Regions from separate parts of the Mus musculus genome. Here all the other regions are reported to be linked to region 1. Evidence: microRNA targets listed by miRTarBase, many of them from high-throughput screens and not tested one by one. Region 1 holds a microRNA gene; each other region holds the end of a gene's coding sequence.

Region 1 (3,083 bases):
CCCATTCCTGAAAGCTTATAGCAACTATATGCCCTAGTTACTACAAAATCAAAGTCTAAGAGAGACCACAGCTGTTTTGCCAACAGAGTTTTAGAGCAGACAGTCAGCAAAGCCCCCTGTGCGGAACTGAACAAGTGCGTTGCTGCGTGAAGCCCTTAGTGCAGAAAGCAGCTTAATTAAGGGAGGAGAGAGGAAAATCCTAGGAAAACTCCTCTTCACTACTAGGCCTCTAAGACACACATTCCTTACTAAAATTAAATCTCAATTTAAGTTCAAAACATTCTGAACACAATTACTACCACAAGCTCAGCATCCAAAGGTCCTAATTAAGACCTTATTAATTTTAAACTTCTAATTTAGTATATTGAAGAAAGTACCTGGCAGGCTTCCTATGTTGGAAGATAAACGTAGCATTCAATCCGTAACACTGGTGACAGACCCCTCCCTTTATAGGAGGCACATGGATCATGTGGATCGTGCTGACATTAGAGCTTTATCACGTTTTAAAGGAAGTTTTCATTAGTCATCTGAAACAAGTTTTAATCCAAAAATGTTAAGAATGGAGTCAGAAGTGACTATGTTTCTGTTTTAGTAATAATTGTACAATTCTGGTCACTCACAATCAAACCCAGGCCTGTGGAATCCTTACCTGGCAGCTCAGGGATCCATCAGTCAGCTTCTTGCATTTCTTTTAAAAAAAGCAACATATTATGGAAAACTTTAGCTCTGTAGATAGTGTCAGCTTAAACCTGATTTTAGCAGCTCTTCCTTATTAATTTTACTTTTCTTTAGGTTTCACTCCAATGATTTTTATTCATAGCCTGAAACCAACTGTGCTGCCCAAATGTAGAACTATATATTATATATACTGTTATCCTAAATACTAACTGCAGCTTCTCCAGACCCAGCACTCGAGTGTCATGTGTACCTGTCACTCTACTGACCATCAGTTTGCCATCTTTCCCTTGAGGGGGTCACATGGTAAGAACAGTCCAAGGATAGTTCTTTCTTACAGGGTGTGCACATTAACAGAGTGGCCACCACCTGTTAACTGTTAAGAACTCACGGATTAGGAATAATCTTATCAGAAAACACTCCATCTGAATTGTCACACTTTAATAAACAGAGATCCAAAGAAAGTAACATTTTTCTTAACTCATGTTAATGGGTTTTAGAGTAAAATAAACCTGAAGTCATACCAGGTTCAAAAGGCAGTTTAACTTCACCTAAGCCCCCACACACAACTTCTTACTAAATCCAGCGAGCAAACACGAAAATGAAATGATTCAGTAAAAACAAACCACAATTTAAAAACACAAATTTCAATTAAAAAAATCCCGTTTTACACACCAACGAAAGCAATAGAAATCACAGTTTACAGAATGTGTTCATACACTCCATCAGCTCGTGAACATTTTTACAGTGGAAATCGGCATCTTCAGCAATATTGTCATTTTCACATCTTCTGGTCACAATCCCCACCAAACTCAACAGGCCGGGACAAGTGCAATACCATACAGAGAAACACAGCATTGCGACAAATCCCAACCTGTGTAGAAAGGGGTTTGATTTTCCCTTACTTCTCTACAGACTTTTCACCACCACAGTCAGTTTTGCATGGATTTGCACAGCAGAATATTATACAGCTGGATGCAAACCTGCAAAACTAACCATAGACCAGTGCTCAATAACAGGACAGTTGGCTGGGCGATGGCCAGGCGAGGCTGGAGTTCTACAGCTGGCAGTACTTTAAGTGCTCGTAATGCAGTAGATGGCTACACACTACCTGCACTATAAGCACTTTAGTGCTACAGAAGCTGTCACATCACACACACCACGCAGGCTCTACATCGACACAATAAAAATACAAAATTAGTTTAAAAAAAAACAACACTTGAAGTAAATAGCAGGCCACCATCAGTTTTGCATAGATTTGCACAACTACATTCTTCTTGTAGTGCAACTATGCAAAACTAACAGAGGGCTGCAAACACAACTATGGAGAGACCCCTACATGCTTGCTTGACTTGGATTGGATGAGGACATAACTTCTTATGCCAGAAGGAGCACTTAGGGCAGTAGATGCTAGTCTACTTCACTATCTGCACTAGATGCACCTTAGAACAAAAAGCACGCAGCACCAGCAGGCCCTCCCCGCGACCGACTGACCGACGACTGGACGCAGCCAGTGCCGCCCGAGGCAGCGCCCACTGTGGCTCCCACCGAGGCAGCTGTCAGCATAATGCTACAAGTGCCCTCACTGCAGTAGATGCACACATCACTACCTGCACTGTAAGCACTTTGACATTATTCTGACTGGTCACAGCTTCAGTCCCAAGGTGAGGTTCACTTTATTCCTGCTAAATTTGAAATAAATAATTAGACAAAAAGGAAAAAGCCAAAGCTCTAAATTCTGTCACAAACATCAATTACAGCTTATACCCAAGGGGGGGAGGGGAGGAGCCAATAGCCAGAAGTTCCAAATTGGACACATGTAAGCCTTAAAAAAAAAAAAAAAACTCCTTAAAGAAATATAAGATACAATCCCATTAAAATGTTGGCTTTTACAGTAGGCTTCCCCAAAAAACACACAATAAGGGTCCTACAAAATGAGACCTGTTATCAGGAAGGCAGTCTGACTTGGTACTACCTTTAGAGGAAAGCCTCACATTGACCAGGCAGCAATCCCTTTCTTCTGTCCTCCACATTGTCAGATACTCGACAAGATTAATGATTATTGTTTAGTCATTTTCAAGTTTATTAGTCATAAAACATAAAAAAGTCTTAGTATCACCCCAAATTAGAAATACTCTATGACTCCAACTTGAAGGGTCTACAACTATTTGGTTAGTGTCCAAAAGCCACTGTAGATTTACTACGTTAAAATGTGGCTCACTCATTTATGACAAGAGTTCAAACTGTATTTATTTCATACCTTAAAAGACCAAGAATGTTGTACAAGCTCAAAGACAAAAGTGAAAACCAAAGGTCTCAAAAGAAGTTTTAGCTACAAAACTAGAATATACTCACCCACTCAGGCAAACTTCCTTCTCAGCAAGTATCCTTGGGCAATGCTTCGGGTG
Region 2 (3,083 bases), not on the chromosome of region 1:
AACACTGGTTTTAAAATGCCAACAACAACAAAAAAAGTAAAAATGAAAAAAAAGGTGCAATCGGGCACTGTAGCACACACCAATCCTAGCACTTGGGAGGCAGAGGCAGGCAGATCTCTGGAGGCCAGCCTGTTCTACAGAGTGAGTTCCAGGACAGCCAGGGCAATACAAAGAAACCCTCCCTGTTATTAAAAAAAATGCAAATAAAATAAAATAATCTAGCAGCATATATGTTGGATTTTTAGGAAAGACCAATTCACAGCCCTCATGTGGGCTATAATTTTTAGGCTGGGCTTACTTAAAATTATCCATTTAAAGACAAACAGAGGTAATCATTATAATGTGTATAAATAGTCATAAAATTGTCTTTTATAGTCTACCATGCAAGTGTATTCTTGCAAATAGAATTAATTTTACTCTAAAAAGTAAAGGCTGTTTATTATTTGGCCTTTGGTTCCAATGCTTGAAACTCCTAAAATAATAAAAATTACCTCATCTCCTCAAACCCCCAAAAAACCCTGAAGCTCCGCAAAGCTGGTGGACTTTGGCAACTACTGAGCACATGACAACACGCATCAGTTTCTTCTGAAACTAGGCGCATCCAAGTATCAAAGGAATAACACAATGGTCTCCAAGCCTCCCTCCCACTCCGACCTCAGCATTTCCTCAGTTGGTTAGAGCACACTTGACATCAACACAAAAAGTGCCTACCCGTTCCAGTGATACACTTTAACTTTTGTATCAAGGTTTCAAAATCACACTATTAGGCAGTGTCTTTGCAAGAATTCCTAGTTTCTGAGGTCATTCACTTTGCCCTGGCTGCTACGGAGATCAGTTGACCCTCCATCATGGTTTCCACTCCAGCCAGTTTGCTGTCATCGCCTGGACAACCTGGTCATTTGAAGCCACAATGCATGTTTAAAAAACAAAACAAAACAAAACCAAAATAACAACAACAAAAAAAACTGAATTAAAAAAGGAAAAAATATATTTCAATAGTACAACCGGCACAAGACACATCTTTTTGTTGTTAGAGAGGCAAGCAAGCACTCAGCTTTCCCCTTAACAGTGTTCAGACCTTTACAAAGCCACTCGACAGTTGAGCAGCCTTGTCATGTAACTAGATGTTAACTTACGCAACTACATTAGTGGTTAGTCAAATCTGGCATGTATGTAACAACATTAGGAACACTATGCCGAGACACAGTAACAAACATTCATATAAAAAAAGAGTAAACTCCACGGAAGTGAACTGTGGTTTTCCCCTTGGTTTGGATAACAAAGATTTTATACATTAAAGTCATGGTAGTGCTTGCATTTACATGTGCTGTGTCACACAGAAACTCAAAGTGCCATTTCAAATCCACAGAAGTTATCTTCAGCATGGTGGTGTGACATGACAGTGTTCATGAACATGCCCCTGATGGAAGACACAGAAGACTTGCACCTCCTTAAGAGAAGAAGTGCTACGTTTCATGGAAAGCACAAGCCTACCACTTCCACTCTCCATGGAAAGCACCCACCTGTCGGTCTGACAGCAATGATCCGACCAGGGAGCTACAGAAAGAACCTTTCTGTATCAGGGAGGGTTACCACAGGCTCTAAGGCAGGACCTGGCACAAGCCAAATAACCAGAGTGTAACGACATTAAATACTTCCCCCACACTTTCCCTAGAACATTGCCAACATGGTACAAAATGAGAAATCAATCACCCTTTTTCTATTAGTTGGCCAGCCTGTGGTAGTTAAAAAAATAATTAAACAACACAAAACAGGAACTATTTAAAATATCTAGTTTTGTATCTGCTGACTTTGAACATAACGCACAGCGACTGCCTGCCCCAGGTTACATCTGCATAGAGCCCGACATCTCTCCAAGGACAAGGGACATGGCCTGGGTCAAGCATGTGGGTCCCGGGGGCAGCTGTGGTCTTCACCAGCCCTGAGTCAGCCCACCTTACTCAGCACCCTACATAAAACACATTTCCCATAACTTAAAGATCATTTAGAACAAGCCCAGCTCCCATTCTGTTTAGTGCTTAGTTTGGAAATGTTTCTAATTGTTAGGTCTTAACTGTTGCTATCTGGTTTCTACCGAGCTTGTACTTACTAACACTGCCTGCCCGCTCACTCGCTTCCTTCCTCCACCTCCCTCAACCTTCGGCTTCCCCACCAGCACTTCTCTCGTCCCTCCGGAACCTTTCTCTTTCCTGGACTGTCAGCTACTTAACCTGCTTCCCAAGAACAAGTGAATTTGCTAACACGCAACTGGTCAAACTAACCATCCATCTGAACAATGCCTTCCTAGTCTCCTTTGCTCCACCCTGATAGAAAGTGGGCCTCCTTTCTCCACTCTACAAGGCCAGCTGCACTTGCTTCCCACAAGAGAATCGCAGCCCAAGAGTCCAAGGGACATCCCTAAGAAGGGGCCTGACATGGAGCCTCCTAAATGTGCATCTCACACTCGGACAAGCCAAAGAAGTATATGTATTGTTTTAAAGTTCATCTCCCCTACCCCCAAAAACTGACAGCATGTGCCGAATCAGAAAAATCCTGGTCTTATCAGATGAATATACATAGTTATTTGGTCATTTGACAGATGCACTTTCAAAGGAGGGTCAGGCTTCATTTTCTGTTGAAGAGTTTGTTACCATGGAGTCTGGCTTTCGAGTCATTCTATCCAGTTCTTCCTGAACATTTGACAACACAGTCTTTTGTCCTTAAAGAAAAGAAATGGAACAAGAAAGAGAGAGAGAGAGAGAAAAAAAAACAAACACAAAATAGCAGTGTGAGGAAATAATTTTGTTTTCTATGCAGGGTTTCTCTGTATAGCCCTGGCTGTCCAGGAACTTACTCTGTAGATCAGGCTGGCCTCAAAACCCATCTTTCCTAGTGACAGCATCCTCAAAATGAGAAAAGTCTTTTCAACAAGGATAACAAAAAAACCAGACCCTAATCTTGTTACTGCCAGTGCCACAGGTCTGTGCTTCTGCAACTAGGCAGCCGCCTCCTCGGCAGGGCCTGGGGATGCCTCTGTATCAAACTCAAGGGGTCTTTCTGAAAACCCTCATCCCCCATCCCTG
Region 3 (3,083 bases), not on the chromosome of region 1:
CCAGTGTAATACAGACCCCATCACTGAGCATCATGTGCAGTCTCCACAGCTCTGGCCCTTCCCACAAACCTCACCTTATGCCAGACCCTCCTCCAACGTGCTGGCCTTTGTGCTCGCTCTAGACGCCCTCTAGCCTGCCTCTTGAAAGGTTGCTAGTAAGCTGCTGTGAATACAGTTAACAAGGTGTCACTGGAAGAATGGCATATGTGTGAGTCACACAAGAAAGTGACCACCCTGTTTTTGTACTCTAGGTACCTTGTGGGGCAGCGCCTGGTGAACTATGAGCGCAAATCCGGCAAGCAAGGCCCGTCTACACCGCCTCCGGTGTCGTCCCAAGAATAAAGTGCTTGTCTCAGCTCCTTGAGCTTCTCCTTGCCTTTTCGTGTCCTTTGTTGTGGACTTCTCACTTGGAGATTCTCCTGTGATCTCAGCGTTGTTTAAGTTAAATGTACTTGACTTGTCTCCTCAGCATTCAGAGAGCAGCGCATCCGGCACTACTGCTCCTCCCTGCATCTGCCGACATCACTGCTGTCTTGAGATCTGTACATGTGTAAATAGGAGTTCCTTGATGCCCTAAAACCTTGGATTAAACAGAATGTGCATTGTACATCTTTAACAAATGTATATTAATTTATTAAATCTAGTTGTCACTTTATTTTGGACCTGCTGTGATCTCGACAGGAAATGTGCCACAGAGCAGTAGTGTATAGGCGAGACTTTGAGTGACATCTTTTGGAGCACAGTGCATGGTGTTGCCAGCAGTTCTCACCAGGTAACTGCATCCTGTCCTTGGCTGGTCAGTCCTTCCTTACCAGGAGCCGAATGGGCAGTGGAGCCTGTGGTAGGGGACTGGACGGAGTGCCTCACAGACAGTCGTATTTGGAAATTATTACATGTAACACCAAAGCTGTTGTACATTTTCTACTGCCTGATTGTTTTCATGTGTCTGTGTTTGTAATATTGTATAGTATATTGTGCTAGATGAGGAAATTATTTTTAATTTTGATAATTTAATATTCCTAGTGATCAGCATTGGGAGTTGGGGTTTTTGTGCTTGTTAGGGGCATGTCTATACTTAGAAAGATAAACTACAAATGAAGATTTTTTTATTGACCTCCTCCCCTTCCATACAGCTCTTTCTTTTTGTCAACAGTGGCCAAAAGTGTCATGCCGGATGAGAAATCTAAGGGGATGTCATCACCAACAGGACCAGTAGTGACAGGTCAAGGCCCTAGGCCGTGGAATGAGGCCGACTGCATCAGGGACGATGAGTAGAACATCCTGCCGTGCTGGCAGCACATTGCAGCTGAGGCTCAGTTAATATACCAGGAAACCCCTGTTCCTAAGGCATGGTGTTTACAGTAAACCGCAAATAAAACCAAGTTTTATTTGTTTGAAAGGAAGCAGACTGAGTTGGCCTTCGCCATAGGAAAGAGTTGCATTGGAGAAATGCTGTGAGATTTTAGAGAATTTAATACTCAGAGGAAGCCTGGTTCCCCTAGCCCAAGCTTCATGTTTAAAGTTTAAAAGATTAGGATGGTTGTACGTCATTCAAGTGTTTAATGGTAAAGGTGTATTATAAGGATAGTGCTAGAAGCTTTCATAGACTGTAAAGAGTTCCATGGAGTATTAAACCCATAGTTGGAAAGGTCTGAGGGCCCACCCCCACCTCTAAATACAAAGCCAAACAAAAGATTAAGAGCAATGCTTTCTGGTTTTGTTCCTTTCTTGATTTTGTCTTTTTGTCGTTCTTAAATTCACTAAGTAATAAGCAAATACTTTGTTTTAAAGCAGCATTATATTTAAAAAACAAAAACAGTCTTGCCATGGATCCAGTGTTAACACTGTCATTTTGTAACAGCCTTTCTCTCCTGTAGCAAGCCTACCTTCACTCTCAGACTTTGTCCTTCCATAAAGAATTAGCATTTTAAAATGCAGTGCCACCTGTCAATGGGAATATGTCTATAAAGCCTAATCTTTTGATGCTGGTATATTGGACATATAACATTCAGGTTTCATTTTTAATTTTTAAACAATTTATGGATCTACCACAAAAAGCTAAGCATTCTCAGTCATCTGGAATTGTAAGTGAGCTTACTGGATGCTTTTCTGAGAACAACCACAAACAGCGCCGATTGCCAAGGTGGGCCCCATCTCACTGGCAGGGCCTGCTCTCCTGTGTGCTTTGTCCAGTGGCTTTCAGGAAGATGATGTCCTCGTGGGGATTTATTGTGCATAACATTTGCTAGGGTGACATACAGGTTTTATTCAACAATATCATAAACATTTAAAACCCTCAATTCAGAAGGTGTTCCTATTTGCTGCCGGTCTTTACAGGAAATTTATAGAGATGTGCATCATTTTGAATTAGGCTAACACCCAGTCTTCAAGGGAGTTTACTAGGAAAGACCTTTGTGCTTTATTATTGATAATTTGAAGACAAATCACCACTTGGGATTAGTTTTACATGACCAGTTATCAGATGGTCACTTCGAAATGTATAGTTGTTCATTATTAACAAATTATGGTTTGATTTTTAAACTACAAAGTACTAATAGTTTAGATGAAAACTGAAGAAAATGCCAATGTAAAATTTGTGTGTAGCTAGCCTTAATGTTCCATGTTTATAGTTGTGGTTCCAGCCCCCACTCCCGTTCTCCGGGGGTAGGGTAGGGAGATAAGACATGTATTGAACAGTAATTTTTGTTTTAACAGTCAGTATAGCTGTTATTACTGTGAATTCTCAAGATGGTCCCTCCCCTCAAGGGACAATCCTCCTATGAGTTTATCAGACATGTCGCTTCTGTGTCGCACAAATGCTTTATTAAAGTATATTCCTAAATTCAGGTTGAGTTGATGAATTTTTAAGACAAACACAAAATACGCATTGGACATTTGTACCCTGTTGTGTTTGCAGACACAGGAGCCAGTGCCATTATGCAAGAACTTGGCACTTGGCACGGTGCTCCAAATTAGTTCCTTCCTCTCCTCTCTGGGGTGGAGAATATCAGGCTAGTTACTGTGATGCCTCATTTTACATTGTGATGCTCAAAGTTCTTGTTTAAAACAATCCTCTAGGATCG
Region 4 (3,083 bases), not on the chromosome of region 1:
TGGATTAGATTCAGATGGCGACACCCAAGCCCAAGGCCTCAGAGGAGACAGGTGTTGAGAGGTTCAGGTGGCCCTGGCCTGCCCTGTCGGATGCTCAGACGTATCTCCACGTCCACAGACTGAGTAACCGGTGCTCTGTCTCCCACAGTGGTCGATCACTACACCAGTCAGATAGTCTTCAACGGGGTCCGGGTCATCGCCATCATCATTATCGGCCTGGGCTTCCTCCTCCTGCTCCTTCCAGAAGAGTGGGATGTCTGGTTGATCAAGTTGCTCACCCGCCTCAAAGTGAGGAAGAAGGAGGAGACAGCAGAGAGCAGCGGGGACTTGGGCACGGGTCCCCAGAGCAGGAGCAGAAGAGCCCGCCCATCCTTCGCTCGCTGAGAAAACTCCTCTAGAACTCTGGGATGCACCCATGGTAATGTTTTTGAGGTCTATTCCTGATGGAGGAACCTCAGTTGGGTGAGGTGTACATACATGTACAGTTTTGGTAACTGCAGTAAGTTCTACGGTATTTATTGGCATGTCCAATTTGCTTGCACTTTTCCACGTCAGACCTTCCACTAAGGGTACCGATTCAAAACAGATGAGAAAAGAACCTCTCAGCGCTTCTTAAATGAATGTAAAGCGAGGTAAAATGAGCCTTGTGTCGGTCTCTTCAGAGGACAGGCAAGCTGGACAAGCCAGGGCAAAGGCTCTGCCTCTTAGCAATTGAAAGTGACATTGTGCACTGTGATTATTTTTCAGCTATAGTAGGTCATATTTTGTTTTATACCAGAACTGTATACTTAATTTTAAGGAATCTCAATGAACCAAAAGATAATTGTCAGTTAATTTGGATGGGTAGATGGATAGATGGATAAATGGATGGATGGGTGGGTGGATGGATGGATGGATGGATGGATGGATCGATCGATGGATAGATAAACATATAGGTGGATAGACGGTTGATGGACAGATGGGTGGATGGGAAAGGAAAGGAAGAGAGGCAAAGCAGAAAAGGATAATGACATGAAGATAAACGGAGGACAGGCCTGTGCTGGGTCACATGATAGAAAACAGAACTCCGACCTAGCTGGTCTGGTCTCACAAGACCATGAGGAGAACTCAGTGCCTTCTACAGCATCTCTGTCCTATGTGAAGCGAGGTGACATTATATGTCACTGGCGCCGTCTTATAATTTAGATGTAGAAATCTTTAAAAAAAAAAAACAAACACAAACTATATGTGTATATGTGTGTTTAAACGTGACAAAGCCAGTGGCCAGTGTATTTGGAGGGTGGTTGGCGGTGTGTGACATGCACAGCAGGTGCACTGTGTGGGAGGGACGGCTGGTGGCTTTCACTTCCAGACCAAGACTGAAACATTATTTACTGAGTCTGTAAGCCTTTTAAAGAAACTTTTAAGCGCCGGGCTGTTTACTTACACAATTTAGGTCTGCCGGAGACTTCTATCTGTGATAGATCTGTACAGAGGGACTGGGCTTAGAGTTTACTATTTTTGAAGTTTACATTGTTACATATAAATGGGAACCTGATTTTGAAATGGTATCATATCCTAAAGGTGCATTCTGGAACCATGGAGTCTTTCGTTTCCTGGGGGGAAGGGGTACTCATGACCTGAACTTTTTAGCCAATTATTCTCAGTTTCCATAACTTGTTTGGCCAAACAGATTAATAAAACATTTGAAACAAACAAAAAAAAAAGCATTGAGTGTACTTTTGGTGCCTCCCGGTGACCTCCCACTAAGGGTCCTTGTGCAGCCTGCCTAGCTGCCAGAGGGAAGATGGTTGTTGCTATGGCAACAGACATAGAAACTAAGTCTGTGGGGCTGAAGGGATGGTGCAGCAGGAGATGAGTCAGTGGTAAAACACCTGCTGTACAAGCATCTGCACTCGTGTAAACAGCTGAGCATGGCTAAATGCACACGCGTGCACATACACACACACACACACCCCTGTAACAGTAAGGGGAAGAGGCAGGAGGGTCGTGAAGCTGTGTCTAGGCAGCTGTGGCCACAAGCTGTAAGACCCAAGTGTCTTGGGCAGAGCTTTGGAAGGCAGGGTTCCTAAAGATGGGGTCACATCACCCATGTCTCTGTTCCAGAAAGTCCAAAAGGCAACACAGGTGGCAAGGTTGTGTCCTGCCACCTCCACCACTGAATACTTCATAAAACTCAGCCCGGCAAACATTTCCCTCTATAAAGTTAGCCCTATACCTGCCCTATAGCAAATGTATCTTGTCCTATCAGCTCACTGATTTAAAACAACAACAACAACAAAAACCAAACAACAACAACTAGAGAGAGAGGTGGCTCAGCTGTGAGAGCACTGGCTGTTCGTTCAAAGAACTCAAGTTTGGTTCCCAGCATCCACAGGACAGCCCACGACTGTCTGTAACTCCAGTTCCAGGGGATCTGATGCCCTTTTCTGGCTTCCACAGTTACCAAGCACTTGAGGTACACATATATGCATACAGACAAGATAGCCACAAACACATTTTTTTAAAAAAGATAACAAAAGATTGGGAGCTCTTTCCTCCTGACCCTCTCAGACCTCCCTTCTAGCCCAGGGATCTCCAGTGGCCACCCCAGGCCACCATCAGAGAAGCTTCTTTGTGCAGTAGAGGGGAACTGACATAGACCTACATCTGGCCGATGCAGAGGAGAGACGCTGGAGCACTCTGTCCTAAATCAAAGCCTTCCCCTCATGACTCAAGGATCTGTAAGGGAGACGAAAAGATTCTAAGAGCCAGGAATGATGGATGTCTCCAAAGAAACTGGACTGACAGACATGTGAACCCAGAGACCTGCAGCGTGTACAAGGCCTGCCCAAGTTAAAGTCAGACCGGGTCCTAGTGTTGAGAGGGGAACATAGACAAAGGCTCTCAACCCCACTAAGATGCTATCTGATACCCTTGAGCCTCAGGGCAGGCACCATGCTCACCAGTAACTGGCCAACACAAAGACCGTGGTAATTTTGTAAACTTTTTGTCTCATTTTGCTTTTGTTTAGAAACCTTTTTTTGTCTAGTTGATCAGTCTTCATTTTGTGTGTGTGTGTTTTCCTGGGGTGTTTTATTTTG
Region 5 (3,083 bases), not on the chromosome of region 1:
GAACGAGATTTCTATTTCAGCAAATTGCGAGACATCGAGCTGATCTGCCAGGAACATGAGAGCGAGAACAGCCCCGTCATCTCGGGCATCATTGGCATTCTCTATGCCACGGAGGTGAGCCCTCTCTTCACCTCCCTCCCACTGCTCTGCTGAGACTCGAGAGCAAGCTAGAGCTCCTGAACTGGTGGCCACTCATGCCTTGTTTCTAGGCTGAGTGTGAACCTGATCCTTCCCCTTGGCCAGCTGCCTTACCATCTCTCTCTCCCTCCTCCAGGAGGGATTTGCACCCCCTGAGGATGATGAGATTGAAGAACACCAACAGGAAGACCAGGACGAGTACTGAGGGAGGCGCCAGCCCTGGCTGACCACAGCTTCCCTGCCCACCTCCACTCTGCCCACCCCAACTATGCCCACCCCACATTATAGTCCTTTCCTTTCAGCCAGTCAGCCAGCTGGGTGCTTTGTGTCAGTGCCACAGCATTAGGGAGCCGGACGAGTGGGGTTCAGGGTGGTGGGGGAGGCTTGGGCAGGTGAGAGGACGAGGCCCTGTCTGGGTCCCCCGAGTGGCACTGGCCCAGGGGACGTCCAGGACCCCTGTCCACTCCCCACTCCTATTTATTTCCGTTGTCTCTATGCTGTGTTGGCCAACACTTTCCAGGGTGCCGCTGTACCCCACAAGCCAGCCACCTGCTCCCTGGCAGCCAGCAGCTGTATATTTGACAAAGTCATTGGTATATTTTTACTTACTGGATTGCCCTTGCACTTTACCTGTTCTTTTCCAGGGCTGACAGCAGGGCTTGGGGTAGTCTTTCTGGCTTGGCTCCCCTTCCCTAGAGCCGAGACTGGGACAGGACTCACCCATTCTTATTTATTTTGTCTTTTGACTTCTCTCTCAGTAGATGAGGGAAAGGCTGATATGAGGAAAGGGAAGGGAAGCTGAGGAGGCAGTGCTCTGGGTCCAGGGAGCATGCGAGAGTAGACATGACCTCCAGGCACTGGGCTCCCCCACCAAGCCCCTGCCTCAGCACCAACACCCAGCACTGCCCCAGGCTTCCTAGCCACTCCCTCCTGCAGCCTAGTTAGACCACACAGACTCTGCCTGGCCCCCATTGTCTGTCTGTCCCCCATTCTCTCACCCCCACCTTTGCCCCTTGGGCACCAGCCTGCATATCTGTTCAGTTTTATTTAAATAAATTTGTGTGGCAAGCCATGATTTCCTCAATTGACCCACAGCAAGGGGTCAGAACATAGCACCTTCTCTGTCTTTTGTAAGAGGATAGCCATGCAGCACACCTTCATGAGCAGAAGCCACCACTGACAACCAGGCTCTGACCTAGACTCAACTCCCACGACTGAGGACTCTTTGTGAGGCAGGTAGTATGTGTATTTCTCTGGGAGATGTAAGACTGTCCCTGAAAATGGGATGATACCAACAGCCCAAAAAAGGACTTGTTCAAGTTGGTCTTGGTGAGTAACAAGGGTTTGTTAGGGATGAGTTACAGGCCAGTGGATCACGAAAATACCTCTCTATAAAGACCCCTAGCTAGCTGGTTTATACAGTTCTTTTTGTTTGTTTTGTTTTGTTTTGTTTTGTTTTTCGAGACAGGGTTTCTCTGTGTAGCCTTGGCTGTCCTGGAACTCACTCTGCTGTAGACCAGGCTGGCCTCGAACTCAGAAATTTGCCTGCCTCTGCCTCCCAAGTGCTGGGTGGGATTAAAGGTGTGCCCCACCATGCCCGGCGGTTTATACACTTCTTATGTCTAGGGCAGGACTGATGCAAACCTGGGCTAGTGTTAAAGCACCAGACTCAGGTAGCATAGGCACAGAGAAAACTAAACACTGAGAAAATTGTGTTGATATGTACTGAAGTCCTTGCCCTTGCCAGCACAGAGCCAGTTCCTGCAAATGCTGTCCAGTTGACGTCATGGATGAAGGAGAGGATGGCTTGTCTCCCTGCAGTCTGGGGCACCAAATGGTGGCTTCCTGAAAGACAGTTGTAGGATTTGAAGTGTTCTCACCACAACAGGGAGTCCTCAGGAGGAGAATGAAGTCTAGAGCTGTGGCTGTAAGGAGGGCAGCCCAGAAAGTGGCCATGGGATGACTGGGGAAGGAGGGGCTTCTTGGCCAAGGACTGTTTTGTTGCAGACTCTTTCAGGCTGGCCTGCAGGGTAACCCTCTACTCCTTGTCAGAGCTCCCACACATCACAACAGCTGTTGCAGCACACATGCCTGTGGCCCAGAGAACAGCTGGGTCTACATGGTTCCTCTTTTTCTTTTCCTATTATTTTTGCATACGTGTGTAACACACACGTGTGCATGTGTGAAAACTAGAGCAAGCACTCAGTTTATACTCCAGCCCCCAAGTGGGTTGTTTTAGAGCAAGATTTAACCGGAAGGAGGGTGTTGTTGGCTATTTAAAAACTACTTGTTATTGTGACCTGGCCATCCACCCAATCACTGACCCAGAGTCTTATTAATTTAGCCCAATTATTGGGCGATTACCCTCAACTCTTTTCCTACGCTAGACCGGCTGTTCTTAGCTATACTCCCATAGTACTTGCTGTGTGAGTCTCATCCAGGCTGGTTCTGCTTCATCAGCTGTCCTCGAGGTACACTTCTAGGCCTGCCTTACCCTATCTAATGGTGACCTCTTTAATTTGGGGAGTTTGGTTTATACAACAAAGGCCAGTGTATGTGAGGATGGAGCCAGATCTTGGGGTTCAGCATTTACCAGGCATATATAAACAGCACAAACCCAACAGAGACAGGAGTCAGATACATTCCCTTGTCATCCACACAACTCCACCCTCTTGAAGTGTGTTTGTCAAAGAGACATAATAGCCAAGGCGTGGAAACCCAGCAAAGATCAAGAATGCTGAAGTGGATGTGAACCTGTTGGGATTGTCTAGACCAGTGGTTCTCAGCCTTTCACAGGGGTAACCAAAGACCACTGGAAAATACAGAAATTTACATTAAAATTTATAACAGTAGCAAAATTACAGTTATGAAGTAGCAACGAAAGTAATTTTATGGTTGGGGGTAACTCCAACATAAGAACTGTATTGAAGGGCTGCAGCATTAGG
Region 6 (3,083 bases), not on the chromosome of region 1:
TCGAGCGTCCACTGTCAGAGGATGAAGCACATCTTCCACCACGTCTAATACTTCAAATACTGTGCAAGGTGAAGAACTGGGATGGCTACGTGATGGTTGTGGTTGATAAGCACTTAATACAAACACATGGACAGTTTACCACAGAGAACATACATATCAAAGGCCAGCAAAGTGAGCAAGCTATTCACACAAACTCAGGAGGCATTATGACTAAATCTCCAGTTGATGAGCAGGAGACTGCACCTCACCTCTGCAGAAATGGAGAGTAACTCAAAGCCGCGACAAGTAGACCTTCGAGCTAGCGATTTGTAAACAGCCTGTGTCTTAAGTCAGCGAACTAGAAACATTCATTTATCCTGCGTAGACAGAGCACCGCACTTCTACATACAAGGTCATTCACATCATATGTCAGTCTACATACAAATACACAGCTTGTCAGAAAAGTAAACACAGTTCTCAAGAAGTAAGACAGCTGTGTTTGGCTGTACAGTGAGTGTCTTTAAGAGAGGAAACAACTTAGTCAACACTTGAAGGAAAAGGAGTTACATTTACAATAAGACAACGATTTAGATACCTTTATATTTTAAATCTTGAGCGAGAAGTAATACAGCATGTCTGAGGAGTGCTTCAAACTGGGTTTTGGCATGGCTGAGTACAAACTCAAGAGCCTCGATGTGTTATGACTTCCTGTTGTAAAACGATGAAAATACACTAGGACTTGAACTCTGTCTCTAAAGCCATTTATTATTTCGGGGGGTGGAGGGGGAGCTGCAAAGCTGCTTCTCTCAGGCTTTCCTGCACCTGTTCCTCTTCATCCTGGCTACACCCAGCTGACACGTTGGTATGTTTGAAGGGTGTCACTTCTCTTGTCTGGAGCTGTGGGGTGAGCTTGAAGAGGGCAGATGCTTTGCTTAATGGGTTCAGATGGATATGGGGCCCAGGCAGACTATTTACCGTCAGTCATCAGCTCTTGGGTTAGTTCTGAAATACAAAATCACCTTTGGAAAATTCCATTAGGTGTATCTGGCAGCAATGAACTCGCAACTGAAACCCTTTGTGAAATGGCCAAGGCCCAGCTGATGGAGCAGTCTCCCAGTGCATGTTTGCATAGCTCGGTACCAGAGCGGTTTGTAATTGAGCCTGTTTGCAGTCAGTTGACAGTTCTATGTGGTATACAACACTATTTCTCTAGCCTTCAGGGCATAGCTGTGAACAAATATAATCCAAATAGGAGTAACTGGGTTGTGACTGCTGCATGCATTCCATGGAACGAAAACACCAACTCTACGCACACACAGACTAGCCCTACAATTTGGCTCAGCTATCAGAGGAGAGGGCAGCTCCCTCAACGCAATGTTATCTAAGTCAGAGACTTGTCAAAATTCTCACTGCAGTCCTGGCTTGTATAAAACATCCACGAAGACATGGAGTGAGCATGAGTGTCAGTCCTTCCCATTCACCTTCCACACAAGCCAGAAAGGAGCAAGAGCCACAGCTGCCTGTGGCTTAGCCTCAGTCCTCCCTAGACCCTGCCTTCTGGCGACCATTTGAGATTTGAGTGTCTCATGTGTTTTGAGCACATCTGTAACAAAAGCTAGTTCTAGACTTTTCTTTTTGCCTTGTGTACTCTAAAACAAGGTGCTCAGATGTAGGCTCCTGGAGAAGTCGGCCACAGCGCTGGTCCCTGAAGGAGAAACACTCTTGCCAAGCCCTTCTGAGATACTCACAATTCTGCCAGCAGCTGATCTTCATTCCCTAAATGGCCGTGCTAAGTAAGGGTGAGCTGGCCTGCCTGAAGCAGGGCCAGTGCTCCCCAAAGGGCTCGGAAGCTTCTGTTCTTGACCCCAAAGGGCAGGAAGGGTGAGATTAGGTACAGCACAACAAACCTATTAGGACAGCCAGGGACCCAGAACTGAAGAAGCCGTACTCTTCCTCCCTCTTCCCTGATGCCCACCAACTTTCTTCCTGTTGCTGGAACACTGCACTCCTGCCTCCGCTCTGACCTACCAACCACTCAGCCGCCAGAAGCACACCACCGCCTTCCTGCAGGAGAAGGGATGCCTTACTGGCACTGCCTTTGTAAGGAAGTTGGAGACATTGCCTAGAATTAAAATATTTGTCTACATTTTTGTTTTTGCAGCTCTCTCACCAGAACTTCTGGCAGCCCTTGCGAGTTCATTACATTAAGCCAAAAGCTGTAACTATGTACACCATAGTCCAATGTATTAGTACCAAGAACAACAAAAGGGTTTTTAAAAAAGATCACGTCGTTTGCATTTACAGGACTAAAAACTATGCAACAAACAAATTACAAATGTACATCTCAGCAGCATCATGGAAAGAGTGCTTATAGATCTAAAAACACTGCGGCCACAATGACAATCCAATTGGGGAAAATCACTAACCCCAGAAGACGTAAAGGTCACCCTCCACCACCACCTTTTCCCTTTAGCCTCTCCCCAGCAGGAACAAAAAGGAAAGAACAGAAGAGTCTTAAAGGCAGAAGAGGGGAGCGAGTAAAGGCCATGTCCGTGGGCTGCACACTCGAAGCACACCCAGCCTGCGGACTTCCATGGTACTAGTGACTAGCTCTTTAAGGCAGAGGAGACAGACATGTGTGGATCCGGGGCTGTTGGCTCATCTCACGTGGTTTCAGTGGCCGAGGATGAGGTACTTTTCTTCCTGAAGCGGGATCGTAGGGTTCTAGGCGGTGCCTGAGAGAGAAAGCAGAGAGAGGGGCTTGAGGGTGGAATCTTGGGGAACAGCGTCAGGTAGGGGTACTTGAGCCAGCTCCCTCTGTTGTTGGGTAGAGCTGGGTTCCCTACAACAGGAATCAGATTCTAGCGTTGCACCCTGTGAGGTGAGGCTGAGGCCCCCCGGGAAGGCCACTGCTCCTTCCTGAGGCTGAAGAGAAGGAAGGGCATACAGAATGGCATGGCTTCCTTGCTTCAGGGGACAGCTCCAGCCCTTGGCTGAGTTTTATAGTTCCTATGGGAACTTTTTTCTGGCGTGTGCTTTCACACAAACGTCCAGTCTCTGTTCTCTTTTACTCTCCAGCAAGCCACACCTGGAAGGCCACCACT
Region 7 (3,083 bases), not on the chromosome of region 1:
CTAGACAAGTATCTTACTAACCTTCAAACCCTAAACCTCAACATGTTTATTATAGAATATTAGCACACTGCTCAAAATTTTAATATAAGTTATATTGTCATTTTACAGGGCTCATAGTCCAAATAAAATTTCTAAACTTCTTTAGGAAAATTTAAGAAAATACATATGAGGCAAATTCTTATGAGAAATTATAAAAAATAACCCCTTCAAGTCAGACTCAGGTATATTTTTGCTTTGGGGGGGAAGTTGAGACAGGGTCTCACTATGTAGCCCTGTTGGGCCTGGAACTTTATAGACCTGGCTGGTCTTGAATTGAAGAGACCCTTCTGCCAGGCTCCACATCTGCCACACTTTCCCCGCTTTTCTTCTTTTTTGAGGCAGGGTTTCTCTTTGTAGCCCTGGCTGTCCTAGGAAGGACTAAGTAGACCAGGTGGGTTGAACTCGGAGATTCAGCAGGCTCTGCCTCCTGACTGCTGGGATTTCAAGGTGTGCAGCACCACAGCTATCTGTTAAGTCGCTTCTTAAAAAGAAGCAAACTATGTAGTGTGCAGAGATAATCACATACTTCAAAAAGGGGGGAAAAAAAAAGACCTGCACGGTCTCAAGAACTTTTTTTTTATTGTTTAAATAAATAAAATGTTCTATATTACATCTGAAGTATAAAAATGTATTTGAAAAATGTTCCTGGTACAAACTTCTAGAACCATGGCGCCATCCTGCTCTCTCAGTGTAGAGAGACAGGGCTCAAATCTATTTCCATGCTCCACATTTTAAAACCAAGAAAATACTCGCTTTCCCACCCTTCTTCCTTTTTCAGTAAGACACTCGCTAGGAGGTTATGTGTGGTGAACACCACTACTCACACGTGGCAGCACACCCTGAGTAGTGTCTGTTCTCCAACTCTATTATTTTAGGCAGAAAATAACTCTAGGTATCTCAGAAAAGTCTTCTGGGAGCAAAGAAGACAGAACCGTGGCAAAATTCAATACAAAATATTAACATCATGCAGTTTTGTTGCTTTGTGTAAGTAAAGTGCTTTTTAAATTTCTTTTAAATTCATGGCTGTATTTGTAGGCTATTTTCCTCCTATTTTGTGTGTATTAAGCAAAGGTGGAACTGAATGTATATACTTAGCATCCAGAGTGCTGGGTGGGTTTGAGAAACTACCTTATCCTCTTCACTCAGGTCACTACAGGCATAAAATCATATCACATACTATGACAACCAATGAATGTTATTATCAACCTTAGGTGGCATGTGTAAGCTTTAGTTCATATTTTACAGTGTTAAGTTTGTCTCTAATTAAAAACCAAATTGATAGTATTTGACATGTATTATGACAGTATTTCTCATGTATAAACTGTTTTATATTTCAATCATGTGAGTTACTTTTCCATAGGAGACAGGGCAGGACACATATTCTTCTTGTATACATTATTGTTTATTGTTTCAAGTGGTTGGAATATATAATTCCCACTGAGTAGTTTAGTGTGGCCCTGAATCACATATAAACAAGTTAAATGGAGACTTTAATTTATAATCCGTGTATTCATTTTAAAAAGGAACCCAAACACTCCTTTTTGAGTTGGCCCAAGTTAGCTGTTCATCCTTTTCATTTCTACCAACAACTACAGAGAGAGGAGCCTTTCAAACTAAGACATAGATGCTTGAAAAGGGAAAACTGCATGTTGACTCTTGCTGACCAGGAAGGGCCAATGTTAAGAATCAATATCATCCAATATAAAATATGCTGAAATCTTTAAAAATAAACAATATATGCTGACTGAGAGCTGTGGTGGCTTTTAAGTTGCTCAAAAGTCTCAAGCTTTCTGGTTAGAAAAAACCACTGGTGCCACTGAAGATGCTCCACATCTGTGTCACAGCCACTATGGGAAAAAACTTTACAAGAAGGTTCTCACTATTGAGCAAGAGAATCTTACTAAGTAGCAATAGTGGCAAAGAGAGAGTCCAAACTGAAGAGATGTGTGTGCATGAGTTTGAAAAGTGTGACAAATTTAATAAAGACACGGAAAAATCAGAAATTTCTTCTATCTGCCTTGCTACAATCAAACCCAACAGGGAATAAGATGGGTGTTTCAGAGCTAACGCAGGGAACATCAGTTGATAATGCCCATCATTTTACTCTATGCTTAAAATATACAAGTAGAAAAGTGGTGCTTATTAATAGTTTAATGTATGAAGGAGACATCCAGATTTCTGAATATGAAGGTACATATCTCACATGAATTTAAGTCTACATAAAGTAGAGCCTCTAGACTGACACACTGAAATTTACTTTCTGCTTAGCCTTTTCTGTTATGTAAACAATTGTACATTTATTTGCCATTCTAAAACTTCAGGATCAAGTTTACATAATTTTGCTAAATTTCCGTGTTTGCTCAGAAGCAGTTTACAGTACTAAAACCAACCAGCCAAAGAACAGCGTCAACAGAAAGTTATGTCCAAAGGAGAAGAGGGAAAGAAAGAAGAAAAATGATAAGAAAAAATTCTAACTAAGGTAAAAACGGATGATGATGGAGAATTGGCTGTCACAAATGTTCACAGAAAATAGGTCAGTTAGTAAGTTCTTCTGCAAAAAGCCTACACACTTCAGTCAAGCACATCAGTAGAATGATTTGGGAGCATAAAAATGTTTCTCGGCCACTTGTGATTTCCTCTGAATGAAAGGAATCTGCAGGCTACCAGGCTTCTCCTCATCAGCCAAGCTGGTTCATGTGCACACTGTTCATGTGAGGTGCCCAGGGTCCAGTCCATACCTACAAACAGAGCATTCGTGTCACCAAATACAAGTCAGGCAGATACTTAGAATACTAGGACAAACAATGAAACATTTATGGACTAAGACAACATAATCTCATTCAATCGTCAACATATAGCTGGATTTGGCAACACATTTAGTCCTAATAAAGAAAAGGAAATACTCTGGAGTTCAAGGTCATCCTTATCTGTACAGTAGGGACAGCTTGGGTTACTTGAGACCTCTTGTCAAAGAACTCAAACAGAAGAATAAAAGGCGGGGCCTGCAGAGATGGCTCAATTGCTAAGAGCACAGGATGCTCTTG

What was found. The annotated mature microRNA mmu-miR-17-5p reads CAAAGUGCUUACAGUGCAGGUAG and lies in region 1 at 2,282-2,304, opposite strand. An mRNA with a match to its seed (bases 2 to 7 or 8) in the 3' UTR can be bound and repressed. Matches are read on the target gene's strand: a 7mer-m8 pairs with bases 2 to 8, a 7mer-A1 pairs with bases 2 to 7 and ends in A, and an 8mer does both.
Region 2: the mRNA of Dync1li2 is a reported target of mmu-miR-17-5p. Seed matches in the 3' UTR shown: 7mer-m8 at 1,347-1,353 and 7mer-m8 at 701-707.
Region 3: miRTarBase lists Marchf6 as a target of mmu-miR-17-5p. Seed matches in the 3' UTR shown: 7mer-A1 at 649-655.
Region 4: miRTarBase lists Slc35f3 as a target of mmu-miR-17-5p. Seed matches in the 3' UTR shown: 7mer-m8 at 539-545.
Region 5: miRTarBase lists Mapre3 as a target of mmu-miR-17-5p. Seed matches in the 3' UTR shown: 8mer at 760-767.
Region 6: miRTarBase lists Reep1 as a target of mmu-miR-17-5p. The part of its 3' UTR that is shown has no 7-base or 8-base seed match.
Region 7: miRTarBase lists Ankrd17 as a target of mmu-miR-17-5p. Seed matches in the 3' UTR shown: 8mer at 1,029-1,036.

The regions. Positions count from the first base shown.
Region 1 is chr14:115,042,905-115,045,987 of GRCm38, reverse strand. Mir17 (microRNA 17) reads right to left here and starts at 2,317; the gene lies at 2,234-2,317. Mir18 (microRNA 18) reads right to left here and starts at 2,137; the gene lies at 2,042-2,137. It overlaps Mir19a (microRNA 19a), which reads right to left and starts at 1,988; the gene lies at 1,907-1,988. Mir20a (microRNA 20a) reads right to left here and starts at 1,831; the gene lies at 1,725-1,831. It also overlaps Mir19b-1, Mir17hg and Mir92-1.
Region 2 is chr8:104,417,964-104,421,046 of GRCm38, forward strand. Dync1li2 (dynein, cytoplasmic 1 light intermediate chain 2) reads right to left here. Exons shown (of 13, transcript NM_001013380.2): 13 at 1-2,719. The coding sequence ends at 2,619. Among named protein-coding and RNA genes, the nearest start is that of Dync1li2, 24 kb to the right of the region's middle.
Region 3 is chr15:31,456,448-31,459,530 of GRCm38, reverse strand. It overlaps Marchf6 (membrane associated ring-CH-type finger 6), which reads left to right. Exons shown (of 26, transcript NM_172606.2): 26 at 252-3,083. The coding sequence ends at 342. Among named protein-coding and RNA genes, the nearest start is that of Ropn1l, 4.3 kb to the right of the region's middle.
Region 4 is chr8:126,394,284-126,397,366 of GRCm38, forward strand. Slc35f3 (solute carrier family 35, member F3) reads left to right here. Exons shown (of 8, transcript NM_001363500.1): 8 at 149-1,674. The coding sequence ends at 384. Among named protein-coding and RNA genes, the nearest start is that of Gm51604, 27 kb to the right of the region's middle.
Region 5 is chr5:30,864,854-30,867,936 of GRCm38, forward strand. It overlaps Mapre3 (microtubule-associated protein, RP/EB family, member 3), which reads left to right. Exons shown (of 6, transcript NM_001310516.1): 5 at 1-114; 6 at 275-1,253. The coding sequence ends at 343. Among named protein-coding and RNA genes, the nearest start is that of Tmem214, 3.2 kb to the right of the region's middle.
Region 6 is chr6:71,807,422-71,810,504 of GRCm38, reverse strand. It overlaps Reep1 (receptor accessory protein 1), which reads right to left. Exons shown (of 7, transcript NM_178608.4): 7 at 1-2,714. The coding sequence ends at 2,704. Among named protein-coding and RNA genes, the nearest start is that of Mrpl35, 15 kb to the left of the region's middle.
Region 7 is chr5:90,226,565-90,229,647 of GRCm38, forward strand. Ankrd17 (ankyrin repeat domain 17) reads right to left here. Exons shown (of 34, transcript NM_030886.2): 34 at 602-2,777. The coding sequence ends at 2,718. Among named protein-coding and RNA genes, the nearest start is that of Cox18, 4.1 kb to the left of the region's middle.